2 linked regions of the Elephas maximus indicus genome follow. The protein of the gene in region 1 interacts with the protein of each later gene in a biochemical or structural test. Links are inferred from orthologs where the notes say so. Each region holds a gene or a part of one and is shown on either strand. Other genes may lie near its edges.

Region 1 (7,150 bases):
CGCATTTCAGAAATGAGGAAATTGAGGAACAGAGAGGTGAAGTAACTTGCCCAAGTAAGTAATCAGGTAGTTGGAATGGAATCCAGGCCTTCCGGCCTTACAGTCCACGCTCTCAATAAGCTTTACGACTTCTCAAGCTGCATAGTTCAAACAATGAGCATTTTATGTCACTACATCAAAGTAAGCCTTGCGTAAAGTCTTGGAAATAGAAATGCCTCAGCTGCAAGCTCTTAAGGCCAGTAACTAAGGAGAGGAGTCTAGGGCCGGGGTGCTCTTGGCTCAGCCCGAAACTGGGCCACGGCTTCGTTCCCAGTCACACCACTAGAGGGCGCGGGTAACTTAAACTCGTCAGGGATGCCTCTCCTTTCGGTGCTTGGTTACCTTTCAACCAGTCATCAAATATTTACTCAATTCGCGGTTCAAAGGGAATATGAAAGTTGTCTCATCTAGTCTCCATGCAGGACTTTAACAGAGAGGGACAAACGTGAACAGATCTGTCTTCTTAAGTATCATCAGGGAAGAAAGACACCATCCACTTCCAGGCTAGTTGGTTCATCTTTAAAACCACCTCTTACTCTCCTACTTTAAGCCTTTCTTCTTTTGGTCTACCCTTCCTGGCAACAAGGAGCAACTGTTTGGCATCCTCATAGCAACCACTGGTCAGAAATGCTTGTAAATAATGAGATGTCCTGGCGTAGCTACGAAAAATAATGTCTATGGCAATTAGTTTTAAATTGCTGAATGAGCTGTCACAGCTAGTGATAGAAACCGCTCGTTGGTGCCATGCCCCCTCAAGTGGCACCCAGGGCACGTGCCATACCTGCCATGCTTAGATACGCCTCGCCCCCAATGACATTTCACTTCCTAAGCAATTTACACATCTCTTTGGTCTCACTCCAATTTCTCCCTGTCCGTTTCAAAGTGTAAAGACCAAGAGTGGACTTTGCATTCCAATATTCTATCCAGTGCCGGATTTACTTCCTGGTTTTTGAACGTTACCCTGGTAATAAACCCAAGCAATATGCAATTTAAAAAAAAGTCTTCCTATCAACTTGATGGAGGATTATATGGTCATTGAAATAACAAAGACATAGCAACATAGAATATGCTTAATACTTTAAGTTTAAAAAGAATCTACAAAACTGTGCCTCTGCTTTGATTAAAGCCATAAAACTTAGGTGCTTATTGACAGAGCCTAGGAGGAAACTTGGGGAAAAAATTGATTTGTTAGGTTTTTGGACTTGATGGCAATTATTTCTCTTCAGTTTCCATTATTGGTATAATGTTGACGACCCTTTAAAAAAGTAAGTAAAATCTTTTATTCGCTCAGCAACTTATGAAGCATTCATTACACGTAAGACTCTGGGCTAGATGTTACAAGGAAGACAAAATCAGACACAGATCCTGCCATTCAAAATAATAGTAGCTGATGCTTGCTTAGTAAGTGCTTTCTATGTCCTAGAAATTATTATCATCCCTATTGTATGCATTAAGAAAGTGAGGAACAGAGAGGTTAACTAGCTTACCCAAGGTCACACACAGTTAAAGCAGAATGAGATTTTGAACTTAATCACTCCAATGCCTGAGACCTTGTGCCTGAGACCACTACATCATACTGCCTCTCAAAATAGCCTAATAAGATAGAAAGGGATAAACGGCATTCAGTCATTCAACAAATATTCACTGAGCACCTACTACATGTCAAGCACCAGGATAGGTGCTGGGAATACACCGATGAGCAAGACAAGCACAGTCCCTGCCCTCACGGAGTTTACAGTCTACAGATAAAGCATTATGGGAGTTCAGAGGAGGAAGAGAGTACTCATATTTGAGGCTACTTGGGGAAGAACCATTTCCTGCTTTCTCTATTCTATTCCTAGAAGAGCATCAACCTTGTGGAGAGAAGAGGGGCACAAAAGAGGTGGGAACACAAAGCCTGAAAAGAAAAGTAACAAGAGGTGGCATCTACTCATTCAGCAAGCATTTGGAGAGAAGACTCAAAAATAAGGGCAGAGTCAGGTGAGGGGGACTAGAATAGACCTTTAAGGTCCCTGACAACCTGAGACTCTTGTCCTTGTTCAACTTTTACTCAAATAATCCTTGAGAATCAAATACCAAGCACTGGGATAGACCCTGGAAATACATTTGTAAAGCCACAACCCCTATCTTTCAGGAGCTTATAGTCTAATGGGGCAGACAATTAAGCAAGCAATTCCAGTACCATGTACTAGGGGCAGTGATAAGAAGAAGGGCAGAGTGAAATGGGGCAGTATGCAAGACACCCAAGATGACATCTATACTGAGCAGTGACACAGGATAAACTGGAGTTAGAAAGGGTGTGGGGTGGGGAGTGGAATTCAGGTGGAGGGAACAGCTTGTGCAGAGCCCTGGAAATGAGAGAGAGCCCACGATTTCAAGAACACTGGTTTCTAGAGCAGTGCCAGTTAATGCCACTAAATTGCTGACTTGAGTTCCTTCATCGCCCATTCCCAAGTTCAGGAAGAGTTGTGAGCATAGGTGCAACCTAGCGTGAGACTGAAGAAGGCTGTTCTCCACCAGGTAACCCCAGAGCTACAGCCTGACTAGGCCATCTTAGTCCACCTTCAGTACTTCGTTGTGAGTGTTTATATGCTTCTCTTGCCAGTCAGCTAGCTCATCAGCGAGCCTATGCTGGACTTCAGAAGAGTAAGAGGACCCATCTGGCTTCCCAGAGGAGTGGGGACAGTGTCCTCCACATCTCTAAATCCCACACAGAATCCAGAACAATGCTTTGCATTTAATAGTACCATCAGGTCTACTAAATATAGAACTAAAAGAAAATCAATTCATCTGACGGCATAATTACTATCTCAACCCACATCCTGCACATTCCCACTCCCTACTCCCAAACACTCCACTGCTGCATTATCAGGGCACGCCTCCTCCATTCCAGACTTTTTCTCTTGCAAATGCCAAGGAGCTCAGCACAGAGAGAAGCACAGCTTTGTGGATAAAAGCAGAGGCTTCAAAATGAGAACAATCTGGGGAAAAAAACAAAAAACCAAACCCATCGCCCTTGAATTGACTCCGACTCATAGCCCTCTATAGGTTGGAGTAGAACTGCCCCATAAGGTTTCCAAGGAGCGCAAGGTGCATTCCAACCGCCAGTCTTTCATCTAGCAGAGGTAGCTCTTAACACTACACCACCAGGGTTCCCAAATAATCTGGATAGAGTTCTTTTATTTGTTTTATGATCTTGAGCTAGTCAGTCAACCTGGAGCAGCCTCTGTTTTCCTCATCTGTAAAATTAGGGTAACAGCTCCTTGGTTGAATGAACAGAACTGGCTGAATGAAAGTAGTAAAGTAGAAAGTCTATGTAAGAAGATCACGTTGCTTGTATAGGAGATGCACTCCATAAATGGTAGCTTTAGTAGAATGACGTAGATGACTTAATAGAGTGGGGAACAGAGCAGCTGCGTATCTATGGGAAAATAATACCTATGACAATTAGATTTAACTTGCTGAATGATCTCTCAAAGCTGAAGATGGAAACTACATGGAAACTGCTCATTGGCGCCCCACCCTCCCCCAAGTGGCACCCAGGGTAGGTGCTATATCCTAAATATGCCCAGTGCTGTTGGCTGGAGTCATAACAACGCCCGCCAGCCCAGGCATCTTCTTCTAGCGACAGGCTCCGACTAGAACGCCTGGAAGAGATCCTCTGTCCCTTGAGGCCCGGCCTACGCCCTGGCCTCCACTGGGAACGCCCGCCTGCGTCAGCAGCCATGACCGCGGGCTCCTCCCAGGCGGCAGACACATGGTGGGAACGTGAGGGGGCGGGCCCTCATCTCGCGCCGCTGAGCCAATCGCCCGGAGGGAGGCGCTCGGCCAATGACAGAGGCGCTCCAGAGCCCCAGGGGCCGAGCTACGGCAAGCCGCGGAGGCGTCATAGGTCACTGGGCGGGCTGGAGGTGGGGCCCGCGGCGCTGTCGGGGGCGGAGCGCCGCCGGCCAGAGCAATCTAGGCGGTGATGGCGGCGGCAGTGGTGACGGCGGGAGCGGCGGCCCTGGTGCCCATTCCCAGCATGGATGGCGCCTCCTCTGTGCACTGGTTCCGCAAGGGGCTGCGACTCCACGACAACCCGGCGCTGCTGGCGGCTGTGCGCGGGGCGCGCTGCGTACGCTGCGTTTACATCCTCGACCCTTGGTTCGCGGCCTCCTCTTCGGTCGGGATCAACCGATGGAGGTGAGAGGGCCCGGGCGGGGTCGCAGGCCCGGGAGGCGCCGGCTGACCCCGGGCCCTTCCAAAGGGGGAGCCTCTGTCCCCCACCCACGGCCCGAAGACCCGGGCCTGAGGGAGGCGCGGCAGGGAGACGGAGCGGGGTCTCCAGAGGCGAGAAGTTGGCACCAGGGGGTTAGTTAGTCATCACGCTAATCCCTTAGGTGGGCGAGGACTCAACCTCTAAGAAGGGGCTTTCGCACCGTGTTTTATCCCCTTTGAGCCTCACACCATCCCTGTGGTGTGATCCCCATTGTACAGATGACGCCCTTGAGCCCTAGAGGCACAAAGTTGACCTGCCCAAGATCATGCAGCCAGCCAGTGGCAGAACCGGGACTCCAGGTGTCTCTTAGGGGTGTGCCCAGGGAGGGGAGGAAAAGGAGATATTGTGGCGTGAGGGCGGGGACGGGTTTCTGATCCTGGGGCAGAGCAGATACTCCCATTACTTCAAGTAAAGAGCCCATTGCTGAGCTCCTGAAGGTCACCCTTGGTTTGTTTTACTCCATCCTGACTTCCCCTCCACCCAGAAGGCCCTGCTTCTGGAGGTGTCTAGAGACCCTGGCTTAGCATTAGGTAAGGCAGGTGCCATCTCCCCCAAGGGCATCTTCAGTTAGAGGCACTGTGTGTCCCCAATTGTAGAGTAGTAGTACTTAACCCATTTTGGAGAATTCTGTTAGCAGCTATGAGCTTGCTAGGAAAAAAAAGCAACCAAACAAGGTATCGCCCGCTTCCTTCTCTCCTGTAAGATGATTTTAGAGGGCAGTTGAGCCCTTATAGATAGGCTTTTATGAACTGACACACCAAGGCAAGGGAGCAGGAAAGCTATGGTATCGGAGACCTCTCTTTGATGACTCCTGGGAGATGGAGTTGACAGGGACATGGGAAGGAATTAGCAGATAGGTAGCTGATGTTTTTTCTCCATAACCAGTGTTCAGGACCAAGGAGTTTGGAAACATTATGTACCCAGCACTTTTCAAAATGCCGTACTGCACCTGCTTGGTTTGTTTGCATTGTTCTGGGGGATGTTTGCTTATGCCTTGTTGCATCAATGGGCAGGGGTATTCCCAGGATACAGCGGCTCTCAGCACACCATGTTTTTGTTTTTTTTTTTTATCTCCAAGGTGTATGCCCTGCTAGGAGAGTGAGCGCTTTGTAAAGGGGGTCTATTAAATGCCCGCTCCTGCCCCATTTTTCTAGAGGGAACTACTAAAGATAGTCCTGTGGAGAGCCTGCCCACACAGTTTCCAGTCTGCCCTATTGTGCTGCCTTTGCTCCAGTTTCTATAGATAGGAGGCTGGGTTTGACAAACATCCTCAAATGACCATCTCTAGTGTAGACAATAAACCAAGCCTCAGACTTTGCCCCCTCCTGTGGCAGCGTGCCAGTCAGAGCAGAGTCAGTGGAATCTGTTTACTGTTACATTGTCACAAAGAAGTTTCTTTTATTCAGTTTCAAGGGACCTTGTAGAGGACTGCCTCCTTTGCTGTGGTAATGGGGGGTGGTTAAAAATCAACAACGAATGTTATGCTGCTGATTAAACTCAGGATAAATTTTTCTGGGTCACTCTCTTGTGATTGTGCTGTCGCGAGTGAAGGAGAAAAGGAATGTGGCAGGCCAGATGCCTGAGTCAAATCCTAAAGTCCGGACCTTGCAAGAATGTAGATGTTAATTGAGCAATTATTTAGCGGGTGCCTGATGTCTGCCAGGAGACCCTGGTGGGTAGTGGTTAAGAGGTGCAGCTGGTAACCATAAGGTTGGCAGTTGGAATCCACCAGGCAGTCTTTGGAAACCCTACTGGGCAGTTCTACTCTGTCCTATAGGGTCGCTATTAGTTGGAATCAACTCGACAGCAACAGGTTTGGTTTACTATCTGCCAGGCCCTGCTCTAGGTGCTGGTAGGGGTACAGCTGTGGACAAGCTGATGTGGTGTCTGTGCCTCCAGGGCTCCTGGAGCTACATTTTAGGGGAGGAAGACAAGTAAACAACCATAATTCAGTAGAACTAAGTGCCATGAAGAAAATGAACCGGGCTGAGCAAGAGCAGTGGTTCTCAGTCGCAGCTGCACATTGGAATCACCTAAGGACCTTTAAAAGATGCCTGGGTTCCCCATCCCCTACCACTGAGATCCTGATTTCATTGTTTTGGGGTACGATCTGGGATCAGGGCTTTAAAGCTCTCCCGTGCAGCAAAGCTTGAGAAAGAACTAGAGAACCACAGACCCAAGCCAGACAACCTGGGAAATGTGTTGCAGTGTGCTGGCAGGAAGTCTGATTCGTTTTGGCATTCAGAAGAAAGAGGTGAAATAACACAAAACAGATGGAATATGGTAACTGCTTCTGGGGCCTGGGAAGAGACACTCATACCACCCCCACCAGACTATTTGCTCCTCATGGGAGTGAGGGAGCGGCAGAGCTGCGGAGGGGTTTGTGCACCAGTTGGGGGTGAGGGGAAGTGGTGGAGCCCTACCTCCGCATAACTACAATGTGTGTAATCTTCCGGTGGCTGTTTTGGGATCTGGGAGTGGTCTGGGAGAATTGTGCTGTAGCATAATGTCTTAGCACTGCAACTGCTTGAATTGCTGCATCTAAGGAACCTCCCTAGGAATGGGGGGCCCAGAACCATTTGCAAGAGAAGGGGGAATCAGAATCTGTGATTTCTTTTGCTTCCTGCACTAACTCCTACCTACCATTTTTCTGTGGATGAAATCAAATTAAGATAGCCATGAACGTTGTTCTCTAAGAGTAAAAGAACAGAGAAAGGCAATGAAGAAATATGTGTATTTACTTTGGCCCCTGACGCCTGGTGACCTTATGCACAATGAGATCAGACTATTGTGATCTATAGGATTTTCACCAGCTGATTTTTGGATGTAGATCACCAGGCCTTTCTTCCT
Region 2 (8,184 bases), on another chromosome or scaffold:
AGGTTCGTATCTGCCAGGCGCTCCTTAGAAACTCTATCGGGCAGTTCTACTCCGTCCTATAGGGTCGCTATGAGTCCGAATCGACTCGACGGCAGTGGGTTTGATTTTGGTTTATAGTTAGGGGTTGGTTCAATCACTGCAAAGTGAGGACAAATTTATATAACATTAAAGAGTTGTCCCTAAGTCAGGATGCTAGTAACCCAGAACTGCCTGTATCCATTTTACCTTAGACATATAAACAGAAATAAAACAACCGCCTTATTCACACAATTTTCTCTGTTAACACTTTGCTGGTCCTAACAACAAGTACTTACTTTGTCTATTACAGCCCTGTTCTAAACAACGTATATTTTAATACTTTTCCAAGTTGAGAAGGGGATAAAAACCTGAAAAATATTAAAAAGTATGCAATACTGGGATAATTGTATTTCTCTCAGCTGAGATATAAAAAGATTATATGATCACAAAAGTATATTTTAAGCATTTATTAGTTTATGAATAGCTGAACAAATATCTAAATTTTCATGTAATAGAACCGTAGTGTCATAATTTATTAGTACATTAGTATATAAACCTATCAAAAAAAGAGCATCTACAAATATAAGGCCAAATGCAGATAAAAACGTTCTCTGTATTATCTTCAGGGAGCCCTGGTGGTACAGTGGTTAAGAGCTTGGTTGCTAACCAAAAAAAAAAAGCCCACAGTTCAAACCCACCAGCCGCTCCTTGGAAACCGTACGAGGCAGTTCTACTCCATCCTATAGGGTCACTACGAGTTGGCACCCACTCGACAGCAACAGGTTTTTTGGTTATTATCTTCACATGCATAAAAATAAGAGAAGGGAGTGGACCCATAATAAAACTTCTAAATGTTGTTTTTTCCAGGTTGACTTCATCTATTCATGCAAAAATTTACAGTGCTTTCAAAAGCAGTTTATTATATCTATTTATACATCCACCAGTCTGCAAATGACTTACGTCAATGGACTTATTTATCTCCTACTTAAAACGCCTTTTATATTTGAAGAGGCGTGGAGCGGATGAGCTGGAAAATAAACGTCAATGAAACCCAGGCCTCTGCAGAGCCTTGGCAATTTAATTTCCAACTGCAACTTTTCCAAGTCCCGAATAATTAACGCAATTTAGGCCACTGCAGCTTTTGGTGAGAGACTATGAAGGGACAAAAAGCAACCTAATGAAGAAAAACTATAGCAGCCAACACAGGAAGTCACTGAGCCAACTCAACATTTCCATGTAACTCTGGAAAGGGCAGTCAAGTTGACCATCAAACAGATGAAGAGCAGAAGAGAACCCTGGCTGTGCACCCTCGTTTCAGGCACTTTTACATACGTTTGTTGTTGTTATGTGCCATCGAGTTGATTCTGACTCACAGCAAACCCATAGGACAACCCCATAAGGTTTCCATGGAGTGGCTGGTGGATTCAAACAACCAACCTTTTGGTTAGCAGCAAAGCTCCTAACCACTGTTAGGTGCTGTCAAGTCAATTTTAAACATACGACAACCCTATGTCACAGGGAACTGCCCCACAGGGTTTTCTTGACTGTAATCTTTATGGAAGCAGATTGCCTGGTCTTTCTCCCACAACTGGGACAGGGCTGGAACTGAGCAGCCAAACACTTAACCATTGCACCACCAGGGCTCCTTGTACATAAACTAAGCCAAACCAAACCCACTGTTACCGAGTTGATTCCGACTTATAGCCACCCTAAACGACAGACTGCTACGAGTAGGAATCGACTAGACCGCAGTGGGTTTTTGGGTATACAACAGAACATAATTGCCCCATAGGGTTTCCAAGGAGTGTGGCTGATGTTAGCGGCGGCATGCATAACTACTGAAACACCAGAGCTCCTTACCTACCCTGGGCATGTAATAATTTTAAAAGTTCGTTTGTATTTAGCTCTGGAAAACTAAAAGAGCCTGTTTCGGCATATTTCCTTTCCACTTATGTTCTGCTTTGACTAATTTCAAAATGCCTTCTTGAGCTGGAATACAAGAAAAGAAGAGTGGTAAGAGTTGAACTCTCAGAATTGGATGGCAGGGAGAACGTGGTGAAAAATGTCTCATGGTCATACGTACATACCTCGGAATTGGTGGCATTTTTAGAAATATCTCACCGATTGCAGAAACTACTTAACATTCAAGTTACAAAAAAAGATTCTAATTATTGGACGACAACTTCTGGCAGGGAGATTGACACCAATCATTTAGCGGGCTGCTCTGCCTGATCATTGTAACTGCAGCCTAAAAAAGGCTGCTCACGCCAAAAGTAGGCGCGAAGCTGCTCATCTCAAGTTGACCAAGTTTTCCACTCCGCTACGCGGCGCGGGCGTCGCCGCCTCCCCTCCGCCCTGCGCCACCTCCACGGATTGGACAGAGCTCGTGCGCTCTACCCTGGCAGTTTGTTTTGACGTTTTAATACTTCTAATTTCTCAAGTTACAAACCCGGCGTAGCCGTCGCCGGGAAGAGCTCCGCAGAAAGCGAGCTCCACGGTGCCTGTCACCAAACCCTGGTGCGGGTAGTAAAGCCGGGCGACAGCCGAGGCGAGCCCAGGGCGCGGCAGCGTCGCGGGGCGGGCTGCACGCGGCCGCCGCACACGCACCACGCCTTGTTGACATGTTTTGAAGACAGCACCGGAGGGAAACGCCCCCAAACAGGCTCCAATGTCTGGGCGCCGCCCGGCCTCCCGAGGGGCGGTCCGCGCGTGTCAGGGACCCCGCGCCCCTCCGCCCGTTCCTCTGCCCAGAAATGGCCGGTGGACCCTCCACTGACCCGCCTTTGCTACGGCGCTCCGGTCCTGCCCATCCGCCGTTACCTGCTGCCGTGGGCGGCTTCGCCCACACACCACCCCGGGCTCCGGGGACGGCGGCGGCGGCTGGTCCCGCGGCTCTCACATGAGGCCCCCAAGGCCCCCGGCTTCGCGCTCCCGTCGCCGCGGCCCCCCGCGCTCCGCCCGCATCCGAGGCGCTGGTCCCGCAGCGAGCGCCAACGCGGCTCCACCTTCGCGGCTCTGGCTGCCCAGGGAGAAGTCTTCCTTCTCAGCCTCACGCCGCCTACGTTTTTCTCCCAGGACCCCTTGTCACCGCAAGAGACACCCTCAGCGAGCTGCGGCCACCGCGTAGCTTCCCGGCGCTTCCGTCCAGACACTGAGTCCAAAATGGCGCCCGTAACTCGCGGCCGCGCGCTTTCCCCGGCGCCTCTCCGCCGGAGTGGGGCGGGCGCGCGTTCGCCACTGGCGCGCTCGCGGAGGGCGGGGAGGACAGGAGCGGGGCCGCGCCCACGTGGGAGCGCGCGCAGAAGCGGTCGAACGTCTGTGCCTCTCAGCTGTGTTCATCCGCCTCTTCTTTTCTAAAGGAGAGTCCGCCGCCTCCCTCTCAGCAGTGACTGCTACTTTTAGGGAATTTTTTGTTTGGGAGCAGACAGAGAGGGCTGGAGCTAGGTGGTTGTCCAAGAGACTGTCTGGGCTGAAAAGAAAGTTTAGGGAGTGGAACCGAGAAAAGAAAGGAAGGAGTGTCTCTAGAGTGTCTCTTGTAACTTGGCAGCCGGTTCCACCGGGCAGAAAGATAAACAGTACCTGTTGACAGCTGACACACTTCTCAGGGTGAGGTGTTGGCACTTGGGAGGGCCATGACTTGCGATCTGTAACCTTAGGGGTTAAAACCACAGGCTTTAAAAATACACAGGAGTCCTGGTGGTGCAGTGGTTAAGAGCCTGGCTGCTAACCAAAAGGTAAGCAATTCGAATCCACCAGCCGCTCCCAGGAAACCCTATGGGGGCAGTTCTACTCTATTCTGTAGGATCGCTGTCAGCATCGACTCCATGGCAATGGGTTTGGTTTTTTTGTTGTTTTAATACACAAACCTAATATATACGTAATTTTTTAAAATATTGCAATGAAACATACCAGAGTGGTAACCTGTTAACCCTGGAATTACAGAATGTTTTTTTATTTTTAAAATATTTGTATTTCCCAATTTTCCTGAAATGAGTTTTATAATCAGAGTTATTACTCTTTTAAAACCACCTCTGCTTTATGAAGTAGTTGAAGTCGTTGCCACTGAGTGGATTCTGACGCATGTTACAGAGTAGGACTCCATAGGATTTTGCAAGCAGATTGCCAGGCCTTTTTTTTTGAGGCACCAGTGGGTGGGTTTGAACTGCCAACCTTCAGGTTCGTAAACCAGAAGCTGTTGTTGCTGAGTCAAGTCCAACTCATTGTGACCCTATAGGACAGAGCAGAACTGCCCCATAGGGTTTCCAAGGCTGTAACCTTTATGGGTGCAGACTCACTTCTTTCTCCCACAGAGCCGCTAGTAGGTTTGAACCGTGGTCCACTTTTCGGTAGCAGCTGAGCGCTTAACCACAGCACCACCACCAGGGCTCCTTGTGAAGTAGATACCCAAACCAAAACTAAACTCATTGCGGTTGAGTGGATTCTGACGCACAGTGACCCTATAGGACAGAGTGGAACTGCTGTATAGGGTTTCCGGGGCTGTAAACCTTTACAGAAGCAGATTACCACATCTTTCTCCCACGGAGCAGCTGGTGGGTTTGAAATGCTAAACTGCCAACCTTCAGTTAGCAGCCAAGTGCTTAACCACTGCGCCTCCAAGGCTTCTATGAAGTAAAAAACTCCTGGAATTTATAAGTAGCTTTCTGAAACGTAACGGGAAAAGTAAAGTAAAGGAGCAGAGAGCTATTTGAAAGAAAACCTCTGGTGATGCTTTTTGTAAATCAAGGCATCTTTGTGTGTAACTGCTACCTAGTTAACTTGTTTTAAAAATTGAGATTTTGGGGTAGTGAGTTTTCCTAAAGCTAGAAATGTCCTATGTGCAAAAACATAACTGAATCATGCACTCTGCCTCCTCTACCCCATAAAACAAAGCAAAAGAAAGTAATTTTCCATCCCAAGACGTCTTCTGAACTATCTCGGCTGTGTGTAGGAGACTGATAGCAGTGATGTCCAGGGAAGCCTTCACTCCTCCCCTTCCCTCAAGAAATTGAGCTAAGAATTGATATTTAAAACAGCATTAAGATTCAGTGTGGGAAAATGACAGTCTTTTTTTTAAGGGCCTGACTATCAGGTCATCAAGGCAAACTACAAAATCTATAGCAACATAATAATGTAAAACCAAATCAAAACCCATTGCTGTCAAGTTGATTCCGACTCATAGCGACCAGGTACCTAAACTGCAACATTTTTTTAGGTCCCTCTGTGACTAGATGATGAGGGACAATAGAAAGTTCTAAGAAAGGCAAGAAAAACAGGCCCATTTCTTTAAAGCTAGGTTAAGAGTATAAATGATCAGCAAAATACATTAAACCAAATCAGCAAACATAACTAGAATATCACATTAGAGCTTTTACCCTCCAGCGTGGGTTTTCCCATTACAGGTTACCCTCCTCTCGTGCAAGACAAGGACCTTGACACACCTAACTCACTGAATGCTCCTTCTTCATCCTTGTAATTGTTATTTAAAACTTTTATTTCACCTTTTTTTCTTTTTTTATTGTGCTTTAAGTAGAAGTTTACCATCCAAGTCAGTTTCTCATACACACACATTGTTATATGGCCCTAGTTGCTTTCCCTGCAATGTGACAACTCCTCTCTACTCTGTATTTCCTGTGCCCATTCAGCCAGCTCCTGTCCCCTCTGCCGCCTCTCCTCGCCTCCAGACAGAAACTGCCCACATAGTCTCATGTGTCTACTTGAGCTAAGAAGCACACCCCTCACCGGTATCATTTTATGTCTTATAGTCCAGCCTAATCTTTGTCTAAAGAGCTGGCTTTGGGAATGTTCTAGTTTTTGGCTAACAGAGAGTCTGGGGGCCATGATCTCTGGGCTCCCTCCAGTCTTAGACCATTAAGTCTGGTCTTTTTACTGGAACTCGAGGTCTACATCCCACTTTTCTTCTGCTCCATCAGGGATTTTCTGTCGTGTTCCCTGTCAGGGCAGTCATCGGTGGAAGCCGGGCACCCTCTAGTTCTTCCAGTCTCAGGCTGATGGAGTCTCTGGCTTATGTGGCCCTTTCTGTCTCTTGGGCTCATATTTTCCTTCTGTCTTTGCTGTTGTTCATTTTCCTTTGCTCTAGGTGGTTTAAAACCAATTGATGCATCTTAGATGGCCGCTTGCTAGCTTTTAAGACCCCAGATGCTACTCACCAAGGTGGGATGCAGGACATTTTCTTAATATACTTTGTTATGCCAGTTGACCTAGATGTCCCCTGAAACCATGGTCCCCAGACCCCCTATGCCTGTACTGTCCCTCGAATTGTTTGGTTGTATTCAGGAAACTTCTTAGCTTTGGGTTTAGTCCAGTTGTGCTGACTTACCCTGTATTGTGTGTTGTCCTTCCCTTCACCTAAAATAATTCTTGTCTACCGTCTGATTAGCGAATATCTCTCTCCCTCCCCACCCCCGTAACCATCAAAGAATGGTTTCTTCTCTATTTCACCTTTTTAAAAGAAGAAACTTGTGCTTATTTTTGAAGCAGACAATCCTTACTTACATTTATCAGTCGTATTAGTCAAGGTCAGTGGCATAGGAGTTGTGGGGGGCTGGTTAACTGTGGAGGAGTTTGGTGCAGCAGGGAAGAAAATTTTATTACTGATCTTATTTAGAATTGCCAGTGCATGGTGATAGTAAAAAGCGGGCTGATTTTTAGTCATTTTTTTCAAATTGTTTTTAAATTCTCCAGGGCAGACAACCCCCACCATAACCTTCACCTTGGTACACTGCTGGTCAGGATGGCTCAGGTGATGCTGCCCTAGTTCCTTATGCACAGCCTTGTAATTCCTTGTTTTTGATGACTTTCACACTGTTAAGGAGTACTGGTCCAGTATTTGTAGGATGTACCGTAATTGTTTTTTGTTTTGTTTTGTTTTCTGACTAGACCCATGGTTTTCAATTCTCAAAAAGGTTTTTTTTTTTTTTTAACTCGGAGTTTGCTGTTCTTCTCCATGTGCCCTAGGCCAGCCATTCCTCAAGGAGGATGAAGATATTCAAAATTCTTGCTTTATGCAGGGATCTCAGTTATCACTTCTCCTACAAACTCATCTCCTGTCCCTCCCTGACATTAAAACCCAAGCCACTATCTCTTCAAATAGTCCTTTGCCACCAATTCTTCTATTTTGATCTTAAGCTCTTTATGTTTTGTCCTTTCAATTTATCTTCGACATTTAGTTGTCCTTTCATGTTTTTATCTTTTTCTTTCTTTGTGTATTGCCTTTCTTTCAACTCATTGATTTTCTCTTTGTCTCCTTCTAGAGTTTCTACCAGCTATTGAACATTTCATTCCCCAAATTTCTAATTTGTTCTTATATCCATCTAGTTTTTAAATCATTTAAAAATGATTTTTATTCCTTCTTTATCTTTGAGGACCCTAAACATTTCAATTTTGAGGTCATTTATATATTGTAGTATTATTTCCAATTTGTTTGAAGTAAATTTGTCCCTAATTATTAATTTTGCTGGCTGCTATTCTCATCCTTGCTTTTCTCCATCAGTTTTGAAATGTTAACCTGCAAGCTTATGTTGAGAACAAAAGATTTCTTTGTTTATCATTCTTTCTGTGCCCTCTCCTTTCTCCATCTCTCTCTACACTTGTGTGAATGCCTCCACTTGGCCACTCAGACCCTCAGTCTAGGGCCACTCAGACTCTCAGTCTAGGGCAGGTCTTATATTCGTGTTTCTGAGTCTCCAGTCTATTATCTTGCAGGCCCAGCAACTGAAGCAAAGGGCAACTTGTGTCCTGTACTGCCTGGGAAGCTGTGTGTGTGTCCTCTTCCCTCGCGGGCACACATTTCCTATCAGCCAGAACTGTAGGCACCAACTTTTTAAACCTGCTGTATAGTTAGAGATTCACAACAAGCTTCTGGTTTTAGGCAGTGACACAGGCTCTGTTCTCCTGCCTCATAGAGGTGCTCTATCCCCCGCTCCCCTACCATGGCGGTACCTGCTTCCATACCTATACCATGGCAAGTCTACTTCAAAACCAGTCACTGCTTTGTATGGATGTGCCTTTTAGATACACAAAAGTATTTTCTTTTTCTGAATCTCCCTTTTTAATATTAAATTTTTATAGCAAACCTATTATTGCTATGTATTTAATAGTGGGAAACTCAAAACACAAATTCCAAACACCTCCTTGACGGGAAATCCT

The links.
Region 2: the proteins of CRY2 (region 1) and FBXL3 form a complex in vitro, tested with the Homo sapiens proteins (2 studies listed by BioGRID, with this or other methods). The link is inferred for Elephas maximus indicus from reciprocal best matches to the Homo sapiens genes CRY2 and FBXL3.

What each region holds. Positions count from the first base shown.
Region 1 is NC_064825.1:101,319,589-101,326,738, forward strand, and holds the start of CRY2 (cryptochrome-2), read left to right. Parts: upstream 1-3,976; 5' UTR 3,977-4,009; coding exon 4,010-4,224; intron 4,225-7,150. UniProt on the Homo sapiens protein: Transcriptional repressor which forms a core component of the circadian clock.
Region 2 is NC_064832.1:70,175,551-70,183,734, forward strand, and holds the start of FBXL3 (F-box/LRR-repeat protein 3), read right to left. Parts: upstream 3,247-8,184; 5' UTR 2,839-3,246; exon of another isoform or gene 2,796-2,838; intron 1-2,795. UniProt on the Homo sapiens protein: Substrate-recognition component of the SCF(FBXL3) E3 ubiquitin ligase complex involved in circadian rhythm function. Plays a key role in the maintenance of both the speed and the robustness of the circadian clock oscillation.